Ovis aries: one gene and its partners. The protein of the gene in region 1 purifies or fractionates together with the protein of each later gene. This does not show direct contact. Links are inferred from orthologs where the notes say so. Each region holds a gene or a part of one and is shown in the gene's direction. Other genes may lie near its edges.

The links.
Region 2: the proteins of DBN1 (region 1) and TMOD1 purify together in Homo sapiens (co-immunoprecipitation; 3 studies listed by BioGRID and IntAct, with this or other methods). This does not show direct contact. The link is inferred for Ovis aries from reciprocal best matches to the Homo sapiens genes DBN1 and TMOD1.
Region 3: the proteins of DBN1 (region 1) and TWF1 purify together in Homo sapiens (affinity purification with mass spectrometry; 3 studies listed by BioGRID and IntAct, with this or other methods). This does not show direct contact. The link is inferred for Ovis aries from reciprocal best matches to the Homo sapiens genes DBN1 and TWF1.
Region 4: the proteins of DBN1 (region 1) and GSN purify together in Homo sapiens (co-immunoprecipitation; 3 studies listed by BioGRID and IntAct, counting the BioPlex papers as one, with this or other methods). This does not show direct contact. The link is inferred for Ovis aries from reciprocal best matches to the Homo sapiens genes DBN1 and GSN.
Region 5: the proteins of DBN1 (region 1) and HOMER3 purify together in Homo sapiens (co-immunoprecipitation; 3 studies listed by BioGRID and IntAct, counting the BioPlex papers as one, with this or other methods). This does not show direct contact. The link is inferred for Ovis aries from reciprocal best matches to the Homo sapiens genes DBN1 and HOMER3.
Region 6: the proteins of DBN1 (region 1) and HOMER1 purify together in Homo sapiens (co-immunoprecipitation; 3 studies listed by BioGRID and IntAct, counting the BioPlex papers as one, with this or other methods). This does not show direct contact. The link is inferred for Ovis aries from reciprocal best matches to the Homo sapiens genes DBN1 and HOMER1.

Annotation. Positions count from the first base shown.
Region 1 is NC_056058.1:36,671,321-36,675,602, reverse strand, and holds the start of DBN1 (drebrin), read left to right. Parts: upstream 1-1,482; 5' UTR 1,483-1,595; coding exon 1,596-1,687; intron 1,688-4,282. UniProt on the Homo sapiens protein: Actin cytoskeleton-organizing protein that plays a role in the formation of cell projections. Required for actin polymerization at immunological synapses (IS) and for the recruitment of the chemokine receptor CXCR4 to IS.
Region 2 is NC_056055.1:50,079,208-50,082,707, reverse strand, and holds part of TMOD1 (tropomodulin-1), read left to right. Parts: intron 1-709; coding exon 710-840; intron 841-2,477; coding exon 2,478-2,585; intron 2,586-3,500. UniProt on the Homo sapiens protein: Blocks the elongation and depolymerization of the actin filaments at the pointed end. The Tmod/TM complex contributes to the formation of the short actin protofilament, which in turn defines the geometry of the membrane skeleton.
Region 3 is NC_056056.1:142,936,627-142,940,726, forward strand, and holds the start of TWF1 (twinfilin-1), read left to right. Parts: upstream 1-1,300; 5' UTR 1,301-1,338; coding exon 1,339-1,363; intron 1,364-3,181; coding exon 3,182-3,259; intron 3,260-4,100. UniProt on the Homo sapiens protein: Actin-binding protein involved in motile and morphological processes. Inhibits actin polymerization, likely by sequestering G-actin. By capping the barbed ends of filaments, it also regulates motility.
Region 4 is NC_056055.1:2,266,941-2,270,955, reverse strand, and holds the start of GSN (gelsolin), read left to right. Parts: upstream 1-1,215; 5' UTR 1,216-1,218; coding exon of another isoform or gene 1,219-1,306; intron 1,307-4,015. UniProt on the Homo sapiens protein: Calcium-regulated, actin-modulating protein that binds to the plus (or barbed) ends of actin monomers or filaments, preventing monomer exchange (end-blocking or capping).
Region 5 is NC_056058.1:4,095,686-4,099,185, forward strand, and holds part of HOMER3 (homer protein homolog 3), read left to right. Parts: intron 1-380; coding exon 381-512; intron 513-2,173; coding exon 2,174-2,281; intron 2,282-3,355; coding exon 3,356-3,477; intron 3,478-3,500. UniProt on the Homo sapiens protein: Postsynaptic density scaffolding protein. Binds and cross-links cytoplasmic regions of GRM1, GRM5, ITPR1, DNM3, RYR1, RYR2, SHANK1 and SHANK3.
Region 6 is NC_056060.1:10,527,957-10,531,978, reverse strand, and holds the start of HOMER1 (homer protein homolog 1), read left to right. Parts: upstream 1-1,222; 5' UTR 1,223-1,364; coding exon 1,365-1,507; intron 1,508-4,022. UniProt on the Homo sapiens protein: Postsynaptic density scaffolding protein. Binds and cross-links cytoplasmic regions of GRM1, GRM5, ITPR1, DNM3, RYR1, RYR2, SHANK1 and SHANK3.

The DNA of each region.
Region 1 (4,282 bases):
TGGGCGCGGCGCGCATGGGCTGGGGGCGAGGGGCGTGAGGGCGCCCCGGGGCAGGCCGGGAAGGGGGGGCGGGCCTCCCCCAGGGCCGGGCCGGGGCGGCGCTAGGACCGAGCGCGCGGAGGGAGCTAGCCGGGCGGAGCCAGCGCCCCCCGCCCCCCGCCGGCCGGCTCCCCTCCCCCGGCCGCTGGCTCGCTCGGCTTGCAACGCTGCAGAGGCTCCGAGGCGGCGGCGCGGCGACTCCGTCTTTCCCTCCCTCCTTCTCCGTCCGTCCGTCCGTGCGTCTGTCCGTTCGGCCTCGGTCCGGCCCGCAGCATGGCCGGCGTGAGCTTCAGTGGCCACCGCCTGGAGCTGCTGGCGGCGTACGAAGAGGTGATTCGGGAGGAGAGCGCGGCCGACTGGTGAGCCCCCCGCCCCCGCCCCTCAGCCCCTTTGTCCCCGCGCCGCCGCCGCCGCGCCTTTGTTTCCACCCGGCCCCGCCGCCCCGTAGCCAGGAGGGAGGAGGAGACCCCGAAATGCTGCAGCGGCCCGCGAGGGCCAGGGAGGAGCTGCCTTTGTGCGCGCCGGGGGAGGGGCCGGGCCGGGCCAGGCGGGGCACCCGCGGTCCCCAAGCACCCGGAGGCGGCCCCAGCCGCGCGGTGGGAACGCTGGTGGCTGGACGCAGGCTGGAGAGACGCCGGGTCCAGATGTGTGGCCTGGGGCTTCCTGGCCTTGCAGAACTGCTCCTCCACCCCCTCCTCTTCGCCTTGGGCCCCGGGGTGGGACAGGTGTGCACCGGGAGGCCAAGGGCACCTTCGACACCTTCGAGCGGGCGGGGACCGAACCGGCAGATCCAGAGCTGTCTACCCGGCCCAGCCCAGCCGGCCACCGCACAAAGGAAAAGCTAGGGCGGGGGAGGAGCGGAGCGGAGCGGGCTGGGGCCGGGGCGCCCCGCCCACCGGGGGGCCTCTCCGAGTTGGGGTGTGATGGAAAGACGTTCACTGCCACACGGCCACCGCCGCCAAGTGCCTCCTGTGCCCCTTGGGGGTCGAGGAGGCAGGGCTGAGTCTTCTCCCCTAGTCCCTGGGTGCAGGGACTAGGCACCCAGGCTGGGACGTGCCAAAGGAACTGAACTGCTTGTCCAGAGTGCCAAGTGGGGTCCCTGGGAGGGAGCCCCCAGGCGGACCATTGTGGAGAGAGTGGAGGGAGTTTTCTGAGAAGAATGAGGGGGTGAGGAGATCCACGGAGCCCCTGGCCTGGTGGCCCAGTGGCAAGGGGCTCTCAGCTACTGCGGGGATGGGGAGGAGCTGGGCTGCCCTCTCTCCCCTCCCCAGCTGTTGTCTCCCCCTAGGTGGTGGGTGGGGACGGACCACCTGCTCTGGGGCCGGAGTCCCCAGAGTGGCAGAAAAGCCAAGGGGGTCCATGCTGCCCCATTCAGGAACCGTCATCTCCCTGGAATACTCTTCTCCTGGGGCAAGTGCCCATTCTCTTCCCTAGGCCTTTTCTCCCCTTGGCAAGCAGGAAACACAAAGTGAAGGAAGATCTGAGGGACCACACTTGGGCTGGCCTCACCCTCATGCTGGGAAGACACTGACCTGGGGGCTGGAGGAGGGGACAAGATGGCCAGGCATCCATGCCACAGTACTGCAGCACTGGCGGGCAGCCAGGCCTGGAGGCATGGACGAGGGAGACAAGCAAGCGCTCGTGTCTTGCGGGTCAGTCACAGGAGAGGCCAAGATGGGCTAAGCAGGCAAGCAGCCCACCCTCTGTCCCAGCCCTGTCCCAGGGGGGCTGAGATCATGGGAGGAGTTGAGGGCAAGTGGCTGGCTTGGCCTGGTGGAGGAGCCGGCCATGGGATATGGGCCGTGCCTGGAGAGAGGCGCAACCCACCTCAGAATGCTCTTCAGTCTGGGGGTGCTGCCTATCTCCACCCCATTTCCCCCCACCTTCCAAAAAGCGGAGCTCCCACAACCACTGCTGGCCCGCATCCTGCTCAGCGGAGGCCTGGGCTCCCACCACCCAGCAGCATCCATGTGGCTCAAGCGAGTTATTATTCATCACTGGCGTGCGTCACCCCCCACCCCCCGCCCCGATCTGGGTTGTGTGTGGTACACTCACAGATGTACACACGCACCCTCGCACATACACACATTTGCTCACTCCCAAGGGCCCAGATAAACATTTGGTAGAAAGAATGTGAGAGTCTTCAGGGACATGAGGGCCCCTAGCACCCAGCACAGAGCCAGAGTACAGTGGGGTCTCCAGACTCAGGAGCAGACCCTGCACTGAGGCTGGAGGAGGGTGTGCTGGATAAAATCACCATCTGGGCAAAAGGGGGCTTGGCACTGCCCTCCTCTGAGTAGGGAGTAAGGGTCGGGGAGGTCACACCCAGGTGGCTTACTCTGGAGTAGACTGCTGCCTGAGGCTGGGAGCAGGGGACCATGGAAAGGCAGATTATGTAGTGAGAACTGGTGTTACCCTGGACGTGACCTGACTCACTGTATGACCACACGAGTCCCTGCTCCTGTTGACAAGCAGGAGAGGGAGTTGGGCTCTGCCATACCCGGGATGCTCAAGGCCCTTCCAGTTCTGATATCCTGAGAGTGTAATTGTCCTGAGGAATCCACCTACCCTGCAGCCCCCATCCTCAGCTCAACCCAGAATCTTCCTGGATCTGCTACATTCCATCTTCCACTCACCCCGGTCCACTTTCTCTGGCTGAGATGGTTTTTAGATGGCAAATACCAACTAGAGCTGCTCTGTGCTGTCTTGAAAGTCTGAGTTAAATGTCCCACCTTCACGAAGCTTACGGTTTGGAACAGTGTCTATCTCCAGGGGTTGGAGGTGGAGATTCCTGCCTCCCTCCCTCCCACCCCCTTTCGGTTTCACCAGCTCCAACCCACCCAAAGCACAGGTCTAGTGAGATCCCAGGCAGCTTCAGATGCCTCTTCCCATCCTTGCTGGGGTGTGGTAAGCACCCTGGGGAGGGAGGTGCAGGGCAAGGCTTCCTGGGGAGCTGGCATTGGGTCCCTGAGGGATTTCAGTCAGGGGTGGACATGGGATGGAGAAGCAGATTTGGCCTTCCTGTGAAGGGAGACTCATATGCAAAGGCCCTAGGGTGGGAAATGCCCAGAACTGTGCTGGACATCAGGGACCCATCCAGTGTGATCCAAGTGTATGGTTTGGATATGGAGGTCTGGCTGGAAAGGCAGGTCGGGTGGAGCTCAGGGATGAAGGCCTGCTGAAATCTTTGAACTTAGCTATGGTTTTCACCAGGTAAGGGCCAGGGCTGCAGCACAGAAAGGTGACTGAAGGTGGGTAGACAAGGAGTAAAGAATGGAAGGGGAGGACACTTGTTCTTGGGAAGAGCCACAGAGAGCCTGGGAGAGTCTGACAGGTCACGCCGGGGAAGTGTGACTTGATGGCTAGTGCAGTGTCTGGGAACCAGAGTCGTGGAGTCCTGCCTCAGTTTCCCAGCTGCAGGATGCAAAGGGGCAGATCCTTCGTCTCTGAGGGCCTTTTGTTCGCAGTGGCAGCTTAGGGCAGCCAGACAGGTGGTGGGACAGCTGTGTGGAGAAGGCAGCTGCCAGGGTTGGGGCCCAGGCAACAGTTGGACGGGGAGTTTCTGGCCCCACAGCCCACCTGTGTCCCTTTTAGGAGGGAAGGGATCCTGAGAAGCAGGGAGGGGCTGGGGCCCATTTGGCAGTGACTTGTGCTGACCTCATGGGGCTGGGCCTGGACCAGGCCTTCCGGCCTCCTCCCACCTCCCTCTCTCCCGCCCTCTTCTCCCTCTCGCCCTCTTCCCTCCTCCCTCTTTCCTTCCCACCCCTTTCCCCTCCCCGCGCCTTCATTTTCTCTCCATCCCTTCGCGTCCCTCCCTTCCCTTGTCTTCCGTTTCTGCCTCCTCTCCTAGCTCGCTTTCTCTTCTGCATCTCGCTGGTCTCCTCCCAGCACCCTGCCTTGGCGGTCAGGGAAAGGGAGCTTGAAGGAGGGGCTGAGCCTCCTTGCCCCTCCGGCCTTTCTTCCTGGCCCCAAGCTGGTCTTCCTCCAAGTGGGTCCCGGGAAGGAGACATTTCTCTCTTCTCTTGTGTAAAATGGATGTTGAGCCACTCCTACCTGTGGAGAAAAAGCTAGGGAGGAGGAAGGCCGCTGGGTCAGCTCTCTGCCGGAGCTGAGAGGGAAGGAAAGGCCAGCAGTCCCCGGAGACGAGAACCTCAGCTAGGGCAGAGGCAGCCTAGGTCTGGAAGGCCAAGAAAGCGCCACCGCCCAAAGGCCAGAGTCCAGGCAAGAGTGGCCATGGTGACCT
Region 2 (3,500 bases), on another chromosome or scaffold:
TCCTTTATTTTCTTCTGTACGTTTTAGAGATTTACTTCTTATACTCCACTTCATAATCCTCCTGGAGTTCATGTTTGTGTGCGGTGTGAAATGAGATCAAGCTTTCACTCTCGTATATCAATATTCCATTGTCCCAGCACCACTCCTTGCGAAGTCCGTCCTCTCGCCTCTGGCTTGGGGCTCCACCCGGATCATAAATGTCCATGTGTCCACATGGGTCTGTCTCTGGGTGCCTCTCTTGCTCCGCAAGTCTTGTCCTTTCCTGTGCCAACATCGCATTGTCTGAATTGCTCCACTGCATTGTTCCAAGCTGGCAGTTTGGCCCCAGAGAGAAATAAAGGCGCCCAAAGCACAATTACCCTTTCCTCTGTTAGGCCTACACGTTTCTTTCCCATCCAGTCTTCATTTTATCCTCGCAGGAACCCACTGGGTAGAACGACTGTCCACACTCTACCGTGAGGACACCGAGCTTCAGACAGTTTAGTGAATTCCCCTAGTTCTTGCAAGTTGGCAGAGGCATTATCCAAGTAGGGCCCAGACTCCTGGCCCAATCCCTCACCATCCTCCTCCTACCCTCCCCTCAGTAGCCCCCGAGAGGCCCAGCCTTCCATGTCCCTGAGCTCGACTGCCACTTCCTTCTGATGTCCTGTGTTGAGAGGAAATGACGCCCCATCTCTGTGAGCCATCTCCCTGTTGTCGGTCACTCTAGGTGTGATCAAACCTACACAGTACAAGCCTGTGCCTGATGAAGAACCAAATGCCACCGACGTGGAAGAAACACTGGAGAGAATAAAGAACAATGACCCGAAACTTGAAGAGGTCAACCTCAACAACATCCGGGTGAGGCCCCCTTCACTCTACTTCCCCCGTTGTGGGAATGTGGGGAAAGCCGAGTCCACTCAGAACCAGACAGCCCAGACCAGACTGCACACAGACAGCAGTGTCCTGCTTAAACTCTGGGTGCTTCTGGATCAGGAATAGAGGCAAAACTTTGGGGAAGGAGGACAGTATAAACCAGCACAGCCCATCATCTCGGTTTCCTTTGGGGCCTGACATCAGACCCAGGTGTTCACCACAGCCAACCCAGCTTCAACTCTGGAAACCCACCACCTTATCCACAACACTGAGAGTTTCTCAGAGATAAATCATGAGTCAGACACATATGGCTGCAGGGATCTCAAGGCTGGAAAAGCCTGGTGCCCACCAGGTTCATGGGGTAACCCAAGCCTGGGGAGGGGCCTAACCCTGAACCTGCATCTCATGCACGTATTCAGCCTCATTCTGCAACCCTAGATGGGAACCATTGGCCCAGCGTCCAAAGTCATGCTCTAGGCTGTTGGCCCACATCTCTTTGGACCCTTCCTGTGTGACCACCAGGCAGAGCGGGGACGGCTGGGCAGGCTGTGGGAGGAATGCAGAAGCAGGCCCAGCTGCCTGCTCACCTGCTCAGCCCGGGAGCCAGAGAGATTAGTTCTCAAAGGGGGTGGATGTAAGCTAAGAAGTGGGCCCCTCACTTCCCCGCTCTCTTTTCCTTTCTTCTCCGCTTTCTTTTAAGTGGCTGCCAGCCTCCTGGCATAATCAGATTGGAAACCTGCAACTGCCGTGTCTCCTCCACCTGGCCTCCCTGCGCTTTGCTCCCATGGGGGCTAAAGTGACGCTCTGAAATGCGAGATCCATTCGGGTGCCTCCACTATCTGCCATGTGCGCTGTGGGAGACACTGGCACAATTCAGAACTGTGCACCCTGGCCACGTCTATGGGCTCAGAGAAGTGTGGGATGGGGGGACCTGGCCACGGCCCTGTGCCTTCACCGTGGGGCCTCAGGCAAGGGCTCGCCCGTTTCTCCTCTGCATGTGAGGCAGTTGGACTAGGTCAGTGGTATTCACTTGAGATTAACAAAGTAATAAATGCCAGTGCCCAGTCCCTCTCCCCACAGAGATTCTGATTTTATTGGTCCAGGGCAGGCCTGAGCATCAGCATTTTATGAAAGTTCCCTAGCACCTCCAATGTGTACTAGGGCTGAGACCCTTTGGGACAGATGTCTCTTAAAGATTGTCTAGGGCAATGCCCCACCTTCGTTTACGGAAACAAACTCAGAGAGGGGCAGAGACTCCCCCAGAGTCACACAGCAAGTCAGCAACATTGCCTATTGCACACACCCACAGGCCTGAGCTCTCGGCACAACACTCTCCTGCACCTTTGCCTTGATGTTTTCCTGCTCCTTCGGTCTCTACAAAGAGAAAACTACAGGTGCTATCTGAAATGTTCAGGGAAGACTTTCTCAATCTGTTTATCAGAAAGTTCTCTCCAAATCTCAGCCATCTAGGGCAAAGCAGGAACCCTTTGCCCATTCAGCTCTTTGGTCAGGGACATGCTGGGCGTCAGGTTGCATCAGTTGTGAGAGAATTACTGCACCATCTCTTTGCCTTGCCTGCCCCTGGCAGGACTGCTGGTCACTACTTGGCTTTCTCTCTGCAGAATATCCCCATACCCACTCTCAAGGCATATGCAGAAGCCCTCAAAGAGAACTCGTATGTGAAGAAGTTCAGCATCGTGGGAACACGGAGCAATGACCCTGTGGCATTTGTATGTACCTTTCTGTTCTGTTGCATTGAGAGTGGGAGGCATAGAAACAGGAAAGTTGACATTTGTGGCCTCAGGACTGGCCATGTGCCACTGATGAAGGACCCTTGTGGTGAGCTGTGATGTGGTGAAAGACACAGGGCTAGGAGCCAGGAGGGAGTGTGGACAGAACAGCCATTAGCCAGGCACCATCTGTACATTATCCTAGTTAATCTCCACAATCATCCCAGATCCCAGAAATGCAGGGCTCCCCACTTTACAGGTGAAGAACCCAGGGTAGAGGGAGCTCAGACAACTTGCTTTATCCAAAGTTTCACAGCAAGTGAGAAGTGGAGTTGAGGTTTAAATGCAAGTCACATGGACCTTAAAGTTGGATCTCTGTCTCCACTCAGGGTGTAGACAAGGGCCTGCCTCTCCCTGGTCCTCAGTTTCTCCATATCTAAAACTATTGTCTTCATTGGTGGTTTCCAGTGTTCAATTTTATTTGATCTTTCCTGTGTCTTAAAAATAATTCAGATTAGATTCAGTTCAGTTCATTTCAGTTGCTCACTCATGTCTGACTCTTTGTGATGCCTTGGACTGCAGCACATAAGGCTTCTCTGTTCATCACCAACTCCCAGAGCCTGCTCAAACTCATGTCCATCAAGTCGGTGATGCCATCCAACCATCTCATCCTCTGTCGTCCCCTTCTCTTCATGCCTTCAATCTTTCCCAGCATCAGGGTCTTTTCCATTCAGTCAATTCTTCATATCAGATGGCCAATATATTGGAGTTTCAACTTCAGCATCAGTCTTTCCAATAAATATTCAGGACTGATTTCTTTAGGGTTGACTGGTTTGATCTCCTTGCTGTCCAAGGGACTCTCAAGAGTCTTCTCCAACACCACAGTTCAAAAGCATCAATTCTTCTGCACTCAGC
Region 3 (4,100 bases), on another chromosome or scaffold:
CAAGCTTTCTACCTAGAAAATTATAATCCAGGAGTTCTAGAAAAGTAGTACAAAAATAACTACCAAGATTATCCTTAGAGGGATTTCCCTGGTGGTTCAATGGAGAAGAACCTGCCTGCCAATGCTGGTGAAAGGGGTTCGATCCCTGTCCAGGAAGGTTCTGCATACTGTGGGCAACTATAGCCTGCACAGCACATCTACTGAGCTCACACTCTAGAGCCCACGAGCCACAACTACTGGAGCCTGAGCACCCTAGAGCACGCATGCTGCAACTACTGAAGCCCATGCGCCTTAAAGCCTGTGCTTCGCAGCAAGAGAAGCCACCACAATGAGAAGGCTGTGCACCCCAACTAAGCTACTCGTAGGGTCCCCCCCAACACACACACACAGTTAGAGAAAGCCCATGGGCAGCAACAAAGACCCAGTGCAGCCAGAAATTTAGACAATAAATAAATTATCCTTAGAAATGGAAACACATGCTCATAAAAGCACAGAATGGAAAATAGTTTTTAATAATATGCTACAACTTTATCCTCACAAATGAATCTTGAATAATTACCTGATTTAAGACTAAAGGACCAATAGAAAGCAGAGCAGCGTTAGTTTGGAATGATGGAACTGACCACAGAGGAGTACTCAAATCAGCTAATTTTACTTTCAGTGGCTGTTTCTTTTTGGAATGAGGAGAAAGGAAAACCTTGTCTCTAAATGGGCCCAACTAAAGAAAGAAAAGGTTTAAGTCTGAAATTAATTTAAAAGCCTTTCAAATTTTGATGGGAAACTGCCTATCCTTTTTAAAAAATCGGGAGGAGCGGGACCCTTTACATTAAATTGTACACACAGCAGAAGAGTAAACCAAGAAGGATATCTTGCACATCTTTTTAAAGCTGAAAACTTGTGTTCAGTAAAATGTTCGTTTCCGTTTTTGAGCATCCTTTTGCTGAACCAGTGAAAGGCGTTGGCAGGGCAGACCCCAGAAGGGAAAGCTATCTTGCCAGCCCTGTGGTGCTTCACGGTGGTGGAGCCGGAGAAGCGGCGGCAAACACCGGGGACAGTGACCCTAGGCAGAAAGCTGGAGTAGCTGGAGTTGAGGGCCGAAGGTGTGGACCTGCAGTCCCGCAGCTGGGAGGCAGTCCCGCAGCTGGGAGACAGTCCGGGTGACCAGAGGCGGCGGGAGCGCTGGGGGCGCGCGAGGACGCCGGGGGCCTAGCGGGGCGGGGCGGCGGTGGGTCGCAGGCCGATGACGCGCCGGGGCCGGCGGAGGAGCGGCCACTTCCTGGAGCCGCCGGGGCCGCTCGCTGCACTCAGCGCTGGAGCCGGGAGCTCGCGGCTGCCGCCATGTCCCACCAGACCGGCATCCAAGGTAACGGCGCCGGCGCTGCCCTTGGGGAAGGGGCTCCCCGGAGGCCCCGGGCAGGCCGGGCGGGGCCGGAGTCGGGCCCGAAGCACTGGGAATGTGTGTCGGGGCGAGCCGGGCCTCTGAGTCTCTCTGCGCTCCCGTGTCCCGGGCGCTCTCGGCCTGCCTCCCTCCCTTCCCGGGCCCGGCCGCCGCCACGTTGCGGACGGACCCGAAATTCGCCGGAGCGAAGGAAGTGGGTCCGGCGGCGGCCGGGGTGAAGGGGGCGTGCCTGCAGCCGCAGCCGACCTTAACCCAACTTTAACCGGTTGGGAAGACTTGGAGACGTGAAGGCGATCGGGGTCCTTTTATTGTCAAGAGACAGGCGAATTTTCTTTTTCACGGTCCAGAAGAGTTGTTATATTATTTGAATTATAAAAAGAAAGATGCGGAATCTTTTCCATTTCTACTAAGAATGCTTCCCAAACTCTTCCGCGCTTTCTTCCAAAATGGGAACATCAGCACCGTTGTATGTATCCTAAGTAGGAGGCGTCTTGGTCGTTCTTAGGTACTCCACGGGGAACTGAAAAGTCTGATCTGTGTGGCATCGTATAATTATCCCATTCAGGCAGTTGAATGTGCAATTTTAATTGACCTGTGTTATTTCCTGGTTTGCGAATGGGCAGTCTGAAAGCTCTCACCTCATCAGAATCAAATAATATGTCCCGGGGTTACTCGCGATCACTTAACGAGTTCTAGTATAAACACAAGATCTTCCTGTTAATAGACAACGAATCTTTTCCCCAGATGAACATCTAATTGTGTTTTGTTCATAAGTCTTTGACACCACCCCATACCTCCTCCTGCACACACAAAGAAAAGCAAAATAGTCTCGAATCTGAAAGCACTCTTTTGTTTGCGTTAGTTTTGATGCATGGATATCTAATTATTGACTTTGATGCTTGAGTCTAATAACAAGCACTATTAAAAGTGGTTCTTGCTGTCAATATACACCCCAAGAACAAAATCAGAACGAAATTGAAGTTTTCATAGCGCAAGGGGTAGGTTATTAAGTATACATTTGCTCAGTGAGATTACTCCAGCTTTTTGAGAAATACTAGTCAGAAAAGTGTGACCAGAAGTATAAACTTGAAGGAATTTTATTGACTTCAGTCAGGATAGGGCATTTGACGTTTATTGTCATCTTTAAATATGAAAATGTATAAAATGAATTGATGAAGAGAGTGTTTTTATTTATCGTAAACTTGAAATTAGACCAGAAGAGAATGAAAGCAGATTCTCAGCATTTTCAAAATCAGTAAAGGTATTTCTCAGATGTGTAATTTGTTCATTATTGGGTTTGAGAAACTTTAATATATTCATTCCCAATTCTAATGTAGCTAGGACAGGTTAGAATTAATATACTTTTAAAACATACTTATGTCTCTTAGCTGTGTATGGGGCTTCCCTGGTGGCTCAGTGGTAAAGAACCGACCTGCCAGTGCCGGAGATGCAGGTTTGATCCCTGGTTGGGAAAGATTCCCTGGAGAAGGGAATGGCAACCCGCTCTGGTATGGTGCCTGGCGGGCTACGGTACAGGGAATCACAGAAGAGTTGAACATGCATGACTTAGCAACTGAACAACAACAACAGCAAAAGCCGTTTTCAGTGTCTGGTATACCTTTTAAGTTTTATAATTTAAATGACTTTTAATAAGAAAATATTGCATACTCAAGATTTTTTCTTTGTATTATATTTCATGTTTTCCTTATTCAATTGCATTGTTATTGTAGCATTAGAAAGTATTAATGCATAAATATTACTTTTCTGTATCTTTTTGCACAGCAAGTGAAGACGTTAAAGATATCTTTGCCAGAGCAAGAAATGGAAAATACAGACTTCTGAAGATATCTATTGAAAATGGTTAGTTAAACATTTTTTGTTCTTGAATTACTGGGTGTTATGTAAAGCTAAGTCATTGTCAGTGATTTGGACTATTAATAAATGTGAAGCCGGTTGAAAGCTTGCCTTTAGTTAACCTGTATCCTCTATATTTTGGGCATTTCCTAAAGGCCCTTGCTTACCTTCTGAATTCTGTAGTTGACTATCAGGGAAACAAAAAGATGTTGGTTTTGGTGTGACATCTTTCTCTTTCACTTTTTTGAGTCTCAGTTTCTGTAATGCAATCTGTATCTAATGTCAGTGCTTGCATCTCTGGAATGAAAATCAGTAACAGGCGATTATCTGAAAAATAAACAGTTATTTGTGAATTATTTTTCAATAAAGTTAGTTTGAAGTAGAAGGAAAGGGTTTTAAACTGCCTGTTTTCTCAACTTGATTGTAATGTTTGCTGAGAAATGATTCCCTTTTCTTGTTATGGGAAACAGTTCTGAGAATATAATAAACTGTAAATTGAGCCTTTCAAAATAAAGCTGAAAGCAGGGAAATTAATTGGGTGGGAGAGTCTTTTAATTTGGCTGGTTTGAGTGTGAATAATTAAATTATAATTACTTAATCTCAAATGAATATGTTAAAACATCCCATTGGCCTAATTTCTTAATTACCTTGAAATATTTTGCTTTGGAAAAATATCTTGTTCTTTCATAAACTGGAAGTAAATCTAATTTGGTTTCCAGTTTCTCTTATATGTTAAAAATACTAAAATAATTTGAAAAATATGCAGTTCTACATATGTTAACACACTCAATGAGAATAAACATATACTGTAAAGTAGCCTGTTTTAGAACTATTGAACTAAAATTTT
Region 4 (4,015 bases), on another chromosome or scaffold:
GTGTCTCTGAAAGTGTGAGCGCTGAAAGACTGGGGCTGCACAGACTGCTCTGGGTGCGCGCGGGCTGGCCCTGCGTTTGGTCACCCAGCTTACACCCACGGGTCCTCCTGTTGGCCGGGTCACTTGCCAGGCCTGAGGCTTCAGAGGCAAAGCAACTTAATGGAGCCCATGGTCTCATGGGCGAGAAAGACTCGTCAGCGTATAATGGCAATACAGTCTTGCAAGAGTGGAGCAACGCGAGGCATAGAGGTGGGAATATGGCATGTAAGCAGCTTGCGTAAGTACAGCATGAGAAAGATAACACTTTACAGAAACAGACTTAAGAGTTAAGCGATAGAGTAAGGTGACAGACAGACATTATTCAAAATCCTTGTCGTATTTTATCTCATTTGATCTTCATAAGAGTTCGGACCCGATTGAGCGACTTTACTTATTCACTCACTCTCTCGATGACCTCATGGGGTAGGTTAGGTAGGTTCTAATACCTACCTTATAATTCCTGTCTTACGGAGAAGTGAACTGAGGCTCAGAAAGGTGACGTAACTTGATTGTTACATGTTAGTTAAATGAAGGGCCCTTTTGTCTAACCTCACGATCTTAAGCCACAGCTCTGAACCTGACCATAAGCTGAATTCAGTCATACAGTGGGGTTACCTTAAATGCTCATGGGATTTTCGGCTGTATTAATAGAGGCATGGTATCTAGAATGATGGAGGTGAGAGTTCTGCTTGCCCTGCCCTGAAGAGAGCTCATCCAAGTGTTCAGTTCTGGGTCTTGCGCTGTCAGTAGGGACAGGGTTCATTTGAAGTAGATCAGGGAAGCCAGGGGAGGGAACCAGACACCTTGATCTCAGGAAGAGCTGGAGCAAAGGGGTAGAAGACGCGAGGGCCTGGGGTTTCCGTCTTCAAGTCTCCGAGGAGCCCCTGGGAAACGGGGTGCCAGACCTGCTCCGGGTGAGCCCAGAGGGCAGAGTTAGGGCCGGTGCGTAACGGGGCACGGGCAGAGAATTCCAGCACGTCCCAGTGAGGGTTCTTTTAACCAGCTGGACTCTTGAATAGAAGGTTTGCAGCCTTGGCAGGAAGTGCTGGAGGTGCGCAGGCAGGGGCATGTGCCCTGGATGGGGGGTGAGGGGGCTGGGGAGGAGCTGGAGCATGAAATGGGCTCTGACCAGATGACCTTGAGCCCCTGAGCCTGGGAGTCTTGACCCTCTCTTTACAGGTGGTACTGGGAACCCCCCGAGCCGCGCTTCCACAGTGGTGCCGAGCCCTTCCGAGGGAGCCGCCCTCTTCACTCACAGCCCCACGAGGTAGGTAGAGCAGTGCAGCCACCGCTGGGCCCTCCTAAACCCAGCCTGGCTGCCGGGGGCTCTGGATGGGCCTGGGGAAGCAGCCTCCGGGCGCCACACGTGGATGCAAAGTCAGTCCCTGGGGCTCTTCTCGTAAAGCTCAGAGAGCACTCTGCCCTTGCCTCACCTGCTCCTCACCTAGAGAGGGAGGCCAGGCAAGCGTGATCCCTTGGGGAAGAGGCACGAAGCCGTCTGGGTGCCAGGACTCCTGGGGCCCCCCCTTGGCTGTGCTGCTCCTGCGCTGGGTGACGGTAGGAAAGTGCTTGTAGCGCCTCGGTGGGAGGGTGGACTCCTGTGAGGAGGAGGTGCAGGATTCTTTGGAAGGGTGAGAAAGGCTGGGGTGTGGCTGCCAAGGCTCCGGGCTTGCTGACCGGAGGAGGAGTGAGAAGGGTGAGTCACAGGGAAGGCGCATGAGTCACACTCACCTGGGATGGCTGGCAGGGCGGGGCCCACCTGACTATCAGATTCGCCGCCGCAGGAGGTGGAGAGGCAGGGCACGGAGTGCAGAGTCCTCTGGCCAGAGCAGGAGACCTGGCTCAGGTCCCCGCTCGGGCCTCAGTTTCTCTGCCTGTGAAATGGGTGCATTGGTCTCCTCCACCCACCTACAAGGCTGTGGTGCAGACTGCATAAGCTCACAGATGCCAAAGGGCTTTGTGAGCTGGAGAAAGGGGAAGGATCATCACTAGGGGGATAACCCAGCTTCCAGTGCTGAAACAGAGAGACGCGAGTTTCGGATAGTAACTGTGTGGAAAGCCTGGGAAACACTCCCCTGGGTCATGACATCACCCTTGACCGCCGAAAGGAGAAGGGGCCGAGTACCTCCAGGGCTTACTCATCCTGCAGCCCGGCTGGCTTCCAGGCGGTGACATGACAAGCTGACCACAGTTGGTGCTGTTCCTCTTTCCCCAAGCTCAGATGCAAGAGCCTTCCGATGCTGGGACTCCCATAGAGGGGGACCAGCCGCCTCCCAAGGGCACGAGACGAAGGGGCCTCCCCCAGCTGCCCAGATGGACCGGCGGGGCCCGCCTTGGCTCTAATGCTCTCGAGTCTGAGACTCAGAGCCTTGACAGCTCCCAAAGCCCCATGGCCTGAGCGCTGTGTCCCCATAAAGGGTTGTACTCTCTGCATGCTTTGGCAAGTGACACAGGAACCATCTTCTGCTTTCCCACTTCCGCAGAAGGGCGCAGCCGCTGAGCGCGTCAGCTGAGGGCCCTCTGCATCTTCACCGTCCCGCCGTCCCTGTGCTGGGCCCCGCCTTTTGCCCACTCCCCAGTGACCCTTCCGTGTCCACGCCTCCTGGTGTTTCCTCAGCTCTCCATGCCCCAGCTCGCTGGAGCCCCGGGTGCCTCCTCCTCCTCCTCGAAGCTCGCTCTCGTTTTCGCTTCTGGCAGGCTGCACCGTTCACTTTAATCTCCTACTTCTCCAGCCTCCTTAACTGGGGCCCTGTTTTTTTTTCCCTCAAATGCTCACAGGAGTCTGACTGCTTCCTCTCTGGTGAAACAGAGGTTCATTCACCCATTCACATGTGCATGAGCGTGTGCCTTCACGGGACAGATATTTATTTAGGCCCTGGACTGGGGGTCGGAGAATCAGCAAAGAATGAGGTTTTCCTAGCCCTCGTGGGTCTTACCGTCTTGGGTCTTATATAAGTTATTATTATTGTTGTTTAGTTGCTAAGTTGTGTCCAACTCTTTGCTACCAAGGCCTGTAGCCTGCCAGGCTCCTCTGTCCATGGAATTCTTCAGGCCAGAATACTGGAGTGGATATCCATTCCCTTCTCCAGGGGATCTTCCCACACCAGGGATTGAACCCAGGTCTCCTGCATAGGCCAGCAGATTCTTTATGCTGAGCCACAAACTCCTCCCTTCTTCAGCTGCGAAGGAGGGGCCAGCGTTAGGAGAGCAGAGGGGACTGCGAGGGTGTGACGGGCTCTTGTCTGGACAGATGAAGGAGGCCTCCCCGAGAACGCTCAGACCGAAGATGGAAGGGACAGTGTGAGCGGGGGACAGTGTGAGGGAGAGGAAGGAGCTGGGAGAAAGAGCACGGCGCAGGGAGAGGGGCCTGGAGACCAGGCGGCGCCTCCTGGGGGCCTTGGTTAGGGTTTGGAGTTTTATCTAGACCCCTGGGGAGGCACTGGAGGTTTTGAAGTAGGGGAGAGTTTTGCCCCAATTTCAGGATTGGAACCCTTGAAAGAGACAGTCGCCAAGTCCCACCCTGATGAGCCCCGAGGCTGTAATTTTTGGCTCTTCCACACTGTGGCGTCCTGACGCTGTGCCTCAGGACGAGGCTTGGTGTCGGGCAGTCCTGGAGATGTGTCCTTTCCAGCATTCTCTGGGCTCCTTGTGGGTTTTCATTGTCGAGCTTCTGCCCTGGAGAGTGGAGGTGAATCAAACCTGGGGGCCCTGGGAGATCCAGACTTGTGCTGGCTGTTGCCTGAGGCCCCGGGAGCCTCAGAGGGCTTCCCCCGAGTCTAGCGCTCTGCTGAGGGGTTGGCAAGGGAGGCAAGTCCAGGCAAGGGAGGTGCGCCTGCAAAAGCTCAGCCCCCTGGGGGGTGCCTCTGTGTTTGGGAGCTAGTGGGCAGAGTGGCTAAAGAGGCTTTGAGTGCAGGGTCCTGACCCTCTGGATGCCAGGAGCCACGGCAGGTCTTGAGTTGAGGAGCTGCTTGAGTAG
Region 5 (3,500 bases), about 33 Mb from region 1:
GTGTCTTGGGGGCCAGGGGATACTCTGAATTTTTCTGAGTCTCCATCTTCCTCCTGAAATGGCTCAAGCCAAGTGGTGCTAGTGGTAAAGAATCCACCTGCCGATGCAGGAGACTAAGAGACATACGTTTGATCCCTGGGTCAGGAAGATCCCCTGGAGGAGGGCATGGCAACCAACTCCCATTCTCCTGCCTGGAGAATCCCATGGACAGAGGAGCCTGCTGGGCTACAGTCCATAAAGTTGCAAAGAGTCGGACAGGACTAAAGCGACTTAGCACAGGAGGGCTAATAGAAGGCGATTTTCTCTGGGGGTTTCCTATTGATTATTATTACCAGTTCCATCACCCGTGAACTTTTCTCCCCGACTTCACCTTCCCCCAGGCCATCATCAACAGCACTGTCACTCCCAACATGACCTTTACCAAAACCTCCCAGAAGTTTGGACAGTGGGCAGACAGTCGCGCCAACACTGTCTATGGTCTTGGCTTTGCTTCTGAACAGCATCTGACTCAGGTGGGCCTGCGGGGGTACATGGTGGGAGGAGCAGGGCTGGGGTTGGGTCTTCTCTTGTGTGCACTGCGGGACCCTGGACAGATGCTGGGCCTCCATCTTCCCAGCTACAGGATGGGCATACAGAGTTGGACCAGCCTATAGCCCCTTCCCACTCCCCTGGTCCACATCCCAGCTCAGCTGGCCACCTGTTTTGATTTTGAACACACCCTGCTCCTCTCTGGGTGCCTTTAATGGGCTGAGTGCTTCCCCACACCCCTGGCAGTACCTTCATCACCACCTCCTTCCACCCTCTGCTGTTTCTAGAATTCGGCATTGTCTTATGAATTGTTTCCCTGTATGGTTCATGCTCTCTGCGATGCTTTTCTTCTCTTTTCTTCTAGAAGCATTAGTTTCCCTTTCAAATTTTAGATCTTGAATTAATTTCTGCAGGCGGTATAAAGTAGGAGTATTTTTTTCACATATGAGTATTCAGTTGCTCTTGGGACTTTTTTTTTTTTTTTGCCACACCATGTGGCATATGGGATCTTTGTTCCCCACCTGAGGATTGCACCCCCTGCACTGGAGGTGTGGCGTATTAACCACTGGGCCACCAGAGAAATCCTGGAACGGTTTTTGAAAACACTACCTACCCCCAATACCCCCAGTGAATTGCACTGGCCGCTTTGCACAACCCAAAGGGGGTGTATAGCTATAAATATTTTAAAAATTACTTTCAAGCTAAGGAAATTTATTTTAAAATTTAAAAAGGTGGGGGGCTTCCTTGGTGGCTCAGTGGTGAAGACTCTACCTGCCAGCGCAGGAGAAACGGGTTCCATCCCTGGACTGGGAAGATGTTAGACGCTGCAGAGCAAGGAAGCCCGTGCGCCACAACTATGGGTCCCGTGCTCTAGAGCCCGGGAGCTGCACCTGCTGAGCCCACGTGCCCCGGAGCCTGTGCCCTGCAACAGGAGAAGCTGCAATGGGAAGCCTGTGCACCGCCACCAGAGAGGAGCCCTTGCTCGCTGCAACCAGAGAAAAGTCTAAGCAGCGATGAAGACCCAGTACAACCCCAAATAAATACATAAACAAAAACTTTTTTAAAAGGGCTCCCTGGTGGCCTCGTGGTTAGGATTCCAGGCTTTCACTGCCATGGTCCAGGTTCAGTGCCTGGTCAGGGAACTGAGATCCCACAGTCCACTTGGTGCAGCCAAAAATAAATAAATAAAATGGAAAAAAAAAAAGTATATCCTACTCTAGCTGGAAAACAGGTATGGGAGATTAATGTAAACTATGACAAAAATGAGAACAGGGGGATTACTTTCCCACTGGCTGCAGGTGCCTGTCAGAGGCTCCAAGTCCAAGACCTGCTTTCTCTTTGTCACAAAGGATATTCACAAGCGTCCCAGGCACGAAAGACAGATTAGCACCCACCTGAGGCTCTCCTTACTGAGATAAGCTGATTGAGGGGAAAAGGGGATCTCTTTCTCAAGGTGGCCTCCGTGAACACCCCACCCCTGCCCTCTAGCCGGATACCCACTCTGCTCCTTGGGCATCATTTTCCAAGCCTTCTTCCCTCTCTTGCAAAGTGACAAAGCTAGTGCTGGGTGGGAGTCATGTGGTGGGGCCCTGGTGGAGGGGGCTGGGAGTTTGTTGACTGTCTGTTCCTATTCCTCATCCCTCAGTTTGCTGAGAAGTTCCAGGAAGTGAAGGAGGCAGCAAGGCTGGCACGGGAGAAATCCCAGGATGGGGGAGAACTCACCAGTCCCGCGCTGGGGCTCACTGCCCACCAGGTCAGCACTCCTTGTCCCAGAACTCAACTGCCCTGGAGGGGAAGGGTCTAAACGCTATGCCGGTGCTCAGGACCAGACACTCACTGATGATGTAAAACTAGAGCCGTGACCGTGGAAAAGGGTCGTGGGTGCCGTGGGTGCCGTGGGGGCATGTCATAGGCCTGCCTGAAAGGAAGGCCAGAAAGCCAGCTCACGTGGCAGCGTGGAAATGTGAAAGGTGAAGTGGCCAAGTAGTGGTGCGTGCTTGCATACTGTCGCTTCAGTCGTGTCCAACTCTTTGTGACCCTATGAACTGTAGTCCTCCCGCTTCTCTGTTCATGGGATTCTTCAGGCAAGAATACCAGAGTGGTTTGCCATGCCCTCCTCCAGGGGATCTTCCCAGCCCAGGGATATTGAACCTGCGTCTCTTATGTCTCCTGCATTGGCAGGCGGGTTCTTTACCACTGAGCCACCTGGGAAGCCCTAAGTAGCGGGGTGGGGTAAAAAACTGTCCCTGAGCGTTTCCCCCCACTAACCTATTCAACATCATTGATTGACCACCTACCGTGTGCCAGGCCCAGGACTGGGCACAGGGCTTAAGAAGATAAAAGAAGTAGGCTGGTCCCCGCCCTCAGGACTGTGGTCCAGGCATCAGGTGGATTCATAATGAATTTAGCCTAATAGAGTAGGTTTCTCATAGGAATTTTAAATAGCTGTTGAAATTTGGCCCCAGGAAAGGTCATTGCGGTGAGGGAATAGCACCGAGGCTTCAGATTGCTCCCCGATTTGCAGATTATGAGTATCTGTCTCCCTGGGTTTAGGCTAGCCTGCATTAGATTTGTTGCTGGTGGGTTGGTGAGAGCCCAGCAGGCAAGGAGGCGGGACAGGGCGCCAAACTACAGCCCAGGGGCCATGTGGGGGCCGTGGATGGTGGGGGAGGAGGGGAGAGGGACGATTGGATCCCAGTGCTGGGAAGGACCTCCTGCGCCCTCTCAGTCATGACCCCTGACATCAGCCCTGACCCCAACCATGACCTAACTGGCCCTTAACTGAAGCCACGCCCTACTGTGACTTCACTTCTATCCATGCCCTTAGGTGCCTCCGAGCCCCCTCGTCAGCGCCAATGGCCCCGGCGATGAGAAGCTATTCCGCAGCCAGAGCGCGGATGCCCCGGGCCCCGCTGAACGCGAGCGGCTCAAAAAGATGCTGTCCGAAGGGTGAGGAGGGTAGCACAGGGTGC
Region 6 (4,022 bases), on another chromosome or scaffold:
TGCTGAGCATTGAAAAATCGAAGAAGGGACTGGTGTTAAGGCCCATCTGGGGTGGCAGGAAGATTGCCTTTCTCTGCTAACCAGCACCAGAGTCTGTCACCAGTGACAGGAGGGAAGGGCAGTAAGGAATCTGGTATAAAACACACGAGAAATTAGAGACTTGTGATCATGATTAGAAAATCAAATATTATTTTGCAATACCAAACTTTATAACAGAATCAACAGTATTAAATTTGCACTCCAAATCAGAAAAGAAACAAAACAGTGTAGGAGAAAGCTTTAGAAATGGAAGCAGACAGGAACCAAAGAGAAATAGATCTTTTTTTATACGTTTGCCTAAAACCAGTGGTGTTTGCTTTTAAACTTACTCACATCTTGTCCTTCGCTCACAATAGAAAAATCTTTCTTTCCTTCCAGAGATTGGAGAAGATTGCAGTAAAGGGCAAAATGTATGTGTGTCCTCTGGGATTAGACAGTGGAGACGATTGTAGTAGAGGGCAAAAGGTATGTGTGTCCTTTCGGGTTAGATCCTCCATTCAAAAATGACGGGACCTTAAAAATTATATGGCCTTCGCAACAAGTTTGTGCCTTAATTTCCTCCTCTGTAAAATAGGTATAACAATGGTGCTTTTTACGTGGGACTGAAGACTAAATGAGGCAATATGGAAAAAGGTTTTAGCAAAATGAGTATCATATATCAAGTGCTCAGTTAATCTTAGCTACTATTCTCATTCTGACAATAGCATTCAAGAAGCAGAAAGGAGCTACCAGTGTGCTATGCTACGCCTGCAAGTGGCTGTTGGTGACTCCTGGCTGCTCTGCCACGTTTCTCTCACACACACACATGTATAGGCTGCGCCGGGTATTCGTTGCTACCTGTGGCTTCCTCTAGTTGCAGGGAGTAGGGGCTACTCTTTGTCTTGCTGTGGAGTAAGGACTCTAGAGGGTGCAGGCTCAGTAGCTGCAAGACACCGGCTTCTCTAACTGCCTGAAGCAGGCTTAGTTGCCCCGTGGCTTGTGGGATCTTAGTTCCCCAATCAGGGATCGAACTTCGTCCCCTGCATCGGAAGGCCAATTCTTAACTATTAGACCACCGGGGAAGTCCCTTGTCCGTATTAAATTGTGTGCAGAGATAATGATGTAGTCTGGCAGTCCCACTGAGGTCTGTGTTATTAATGTGTCAAGGTCAGTGACAGGGCAGGACACAGTGCCCGGAAATCTCACTGGGCATTTTGCTTTCGTTACCTGCTAGGTACTCTTGCCTGGAAACTCCCATGGTCGGGGGGGAGCCTGCTGGGCTGCAGTCCATGGGGTTGCACAGAGTCAGACATGACTGAGCGACTTCACTTTCACTTTTCACTTTCATGCATTGGAGAAAGAAATGGCGACCCACTCCAGTGTTCTTGCCTGGAGAATCCCAGGGACGGGGAAGGGCTGCCGTCTATGGGATCGCACAGAGTCGAACACGACTGAAGCGACTTAGCAGCAGCAGCAGCAGCAGCAGCAGGTAAGTTTGTCAGAATTCTAATGCTGAGTTTTGCTTCTTTATGGCAGAGTTTCATTTTGATATGCTTGTGCTTTATTAGCTGACTTTAGAACGGTTTGGTTAATCTTCCTTCTCTCTGGTGGGAGGAAAATATATATATGGTGTGTGTGTGTGAGAGTTTAAGTGGCTTCAGGCTTACTTCCCATATTGGGAAACTTGCCCTCAGTACCAAGAGAGTCTATGAAACAGTCCTTCAGCATTTGTGCAGCAAGCAGAAAAGAGGTGGATTCCCTTCCCAGCTGACTCATTGATCATGGTTTCTGCTGAATGGATTCAACTCAACAAATTTGGAATCACTGGTCAGAGACCAAGGTGAAAGTCCTGGGTGTTCTTTCCTGGGACTTTTATCAAGGAAAATTCAGCCCCTTAGATAGAATAGCAGGTTGGTTTTGAACCAGTCATCAGCGACAGTAATTATCATCCCTGTTTTACTAAACTGAGGGGTCATGAGGTTAAGTAACTTCCCACACACACGTTACTCACACAGCAAGTCAAAGGCAGAGCCTGAGATCAAACTTTGGCAGTCTGGCACCTGAGTCTGTGCCTTTATTTCCCTCTTCCACCTGTCTGCAAGTTAGGAGGTGCCTTTTTATTTTGACCAACTTTTTCGATAGAACTTTCAAATATGCAGATTTAAAAGTCTCTTTTGTTGAATCAAAATGACTTACAATAATTGATTTTAATGCTAAGGTGATTTGTACTCGTAAAAATTTTTTGATTTATTATTAGTTCCTTCAAAATTATTATAGAATTATAATATATTTTATTTCGTGACTGAACAATGAGACAGATGGTAGGAGGCACCCTTTTCCGCCCCTTATCTTCCCGTTGTGCTCCTAGTCATCCCTAAAAACCCAGGCGTCCACTACTTCCTCTGCTACTCCTGCAACAATACAGGCACTCATAACTGCACTCATCACTCTGCGTTGCGATTATTTGAGTATCTTTTATGACCCCTGCTCAGCAGGACAGGATCGATATTTTTCTTCATGTGAGCACTTGTGTAATAAAGTCAACAAAGAACAAATGTTCACTGAACTGTATTTGAGGAAAACATTTCAATAGCTTTCTTTTATGTGAAGTGCCTTTTTTGGCTGATCAGGAAATTTTAATATGAGGGAAATTTCTGGAATTACATGAACACTAATTTTCTTATAAAATTTCTCTTGTTTGAAACACCGAGTGTGAAAAAATGTAGAGTAACTTACCTGCGTTTATTCTAAAGAACTGTAGTCTTTGCATCATGGCATATTTGTAACCCATTCTTCGAACACTAATAACCTTGTGGCTATTCATGCTTATTTACTGTTCACTCTAAAATCTTTTTGACTCAAAGTTTTTAAGAGTTACATGGGATCAACTCGAAATCAACAAATGTATCCTTGCTTTTTTATTTTGCTTTCTACACACTGTCATCCCTCATTATAATTCTATGAAGTGAATGTCACTGTACACAGTATAAAATGTTTTGCATATATGTAAACACCAGAACCTAGGAGTGCTGTGTCGTAGCACAATTATACAAGTAGAAGCAAATACATTTATGCAACATAATGTAAACAGTTCACTGTTTTTTTGCAAGAATAAAAGCAAAATAATTATGTTGAATAGTCTTTAATTAAAATTAGTTGAAAACAAGTATAGCTCTATTATATTATGTTGTAACTCACCTAGCAGTCAATTTCTTCAGCTTTTCAAATCCACCAATGTATGTAATTTTAGCTGTTAAAAGTGTTACTTATTTAGCTTGAATTAAAGCAAAACTTAAGCTTATGCTATCTATTGACTGGTTTCTTAAGTAACTGTATTTTAAATTAAAGTTTGAAGTTTATTTATGCCATTCTCAAATGATTAGATGTGATTTCATATGTTTAAATTATAAACATATTGGTGTTTACAATATTCTTTATTATAAGCAGTATGGATCCTGGATCTCAGATTTCCTAGGAGGCTTCTAGGAACTTGTGGTAAATACTTACTAGAGGATATGAGCTTTCATTTTCTATTTTAATCTTTATTCTTTTAGAAAGAGATATTATTTAATTCTCCTATATTTACATTTTCATATGATATTGCAGAAGAGACAGTGAATTTATGGAACCTAACTTCCAAATTCCAAAAGACATTTTATATTGTGAATCTTTGCCTATAATGAAAGTCTATTGAACCAGCTGAAGCAGTCACAGGATACCGAAAGAACAATTTCCTCTCTTATACTACATTTATAACTAGTTTTGAAGATTTCAAAGAGACAATCTAGAACCAAACTATTTTTGCAAATAGTCTTGAAGAAATTTTTCTCTCATGTGCATGCTTTCATGTGTAAAAGGAAACCATAACTTTTGTGAAATCATCTTGCTTTTCAAATGTATGTTTGTGTTTAAGTGTGTGGCTTGCCCAGTTTAAAAACCACAAGGGGAAAATTATTTAATGGCGTGCAACCACACAGACTTCACAGACTGAGATTTTCTTGTTT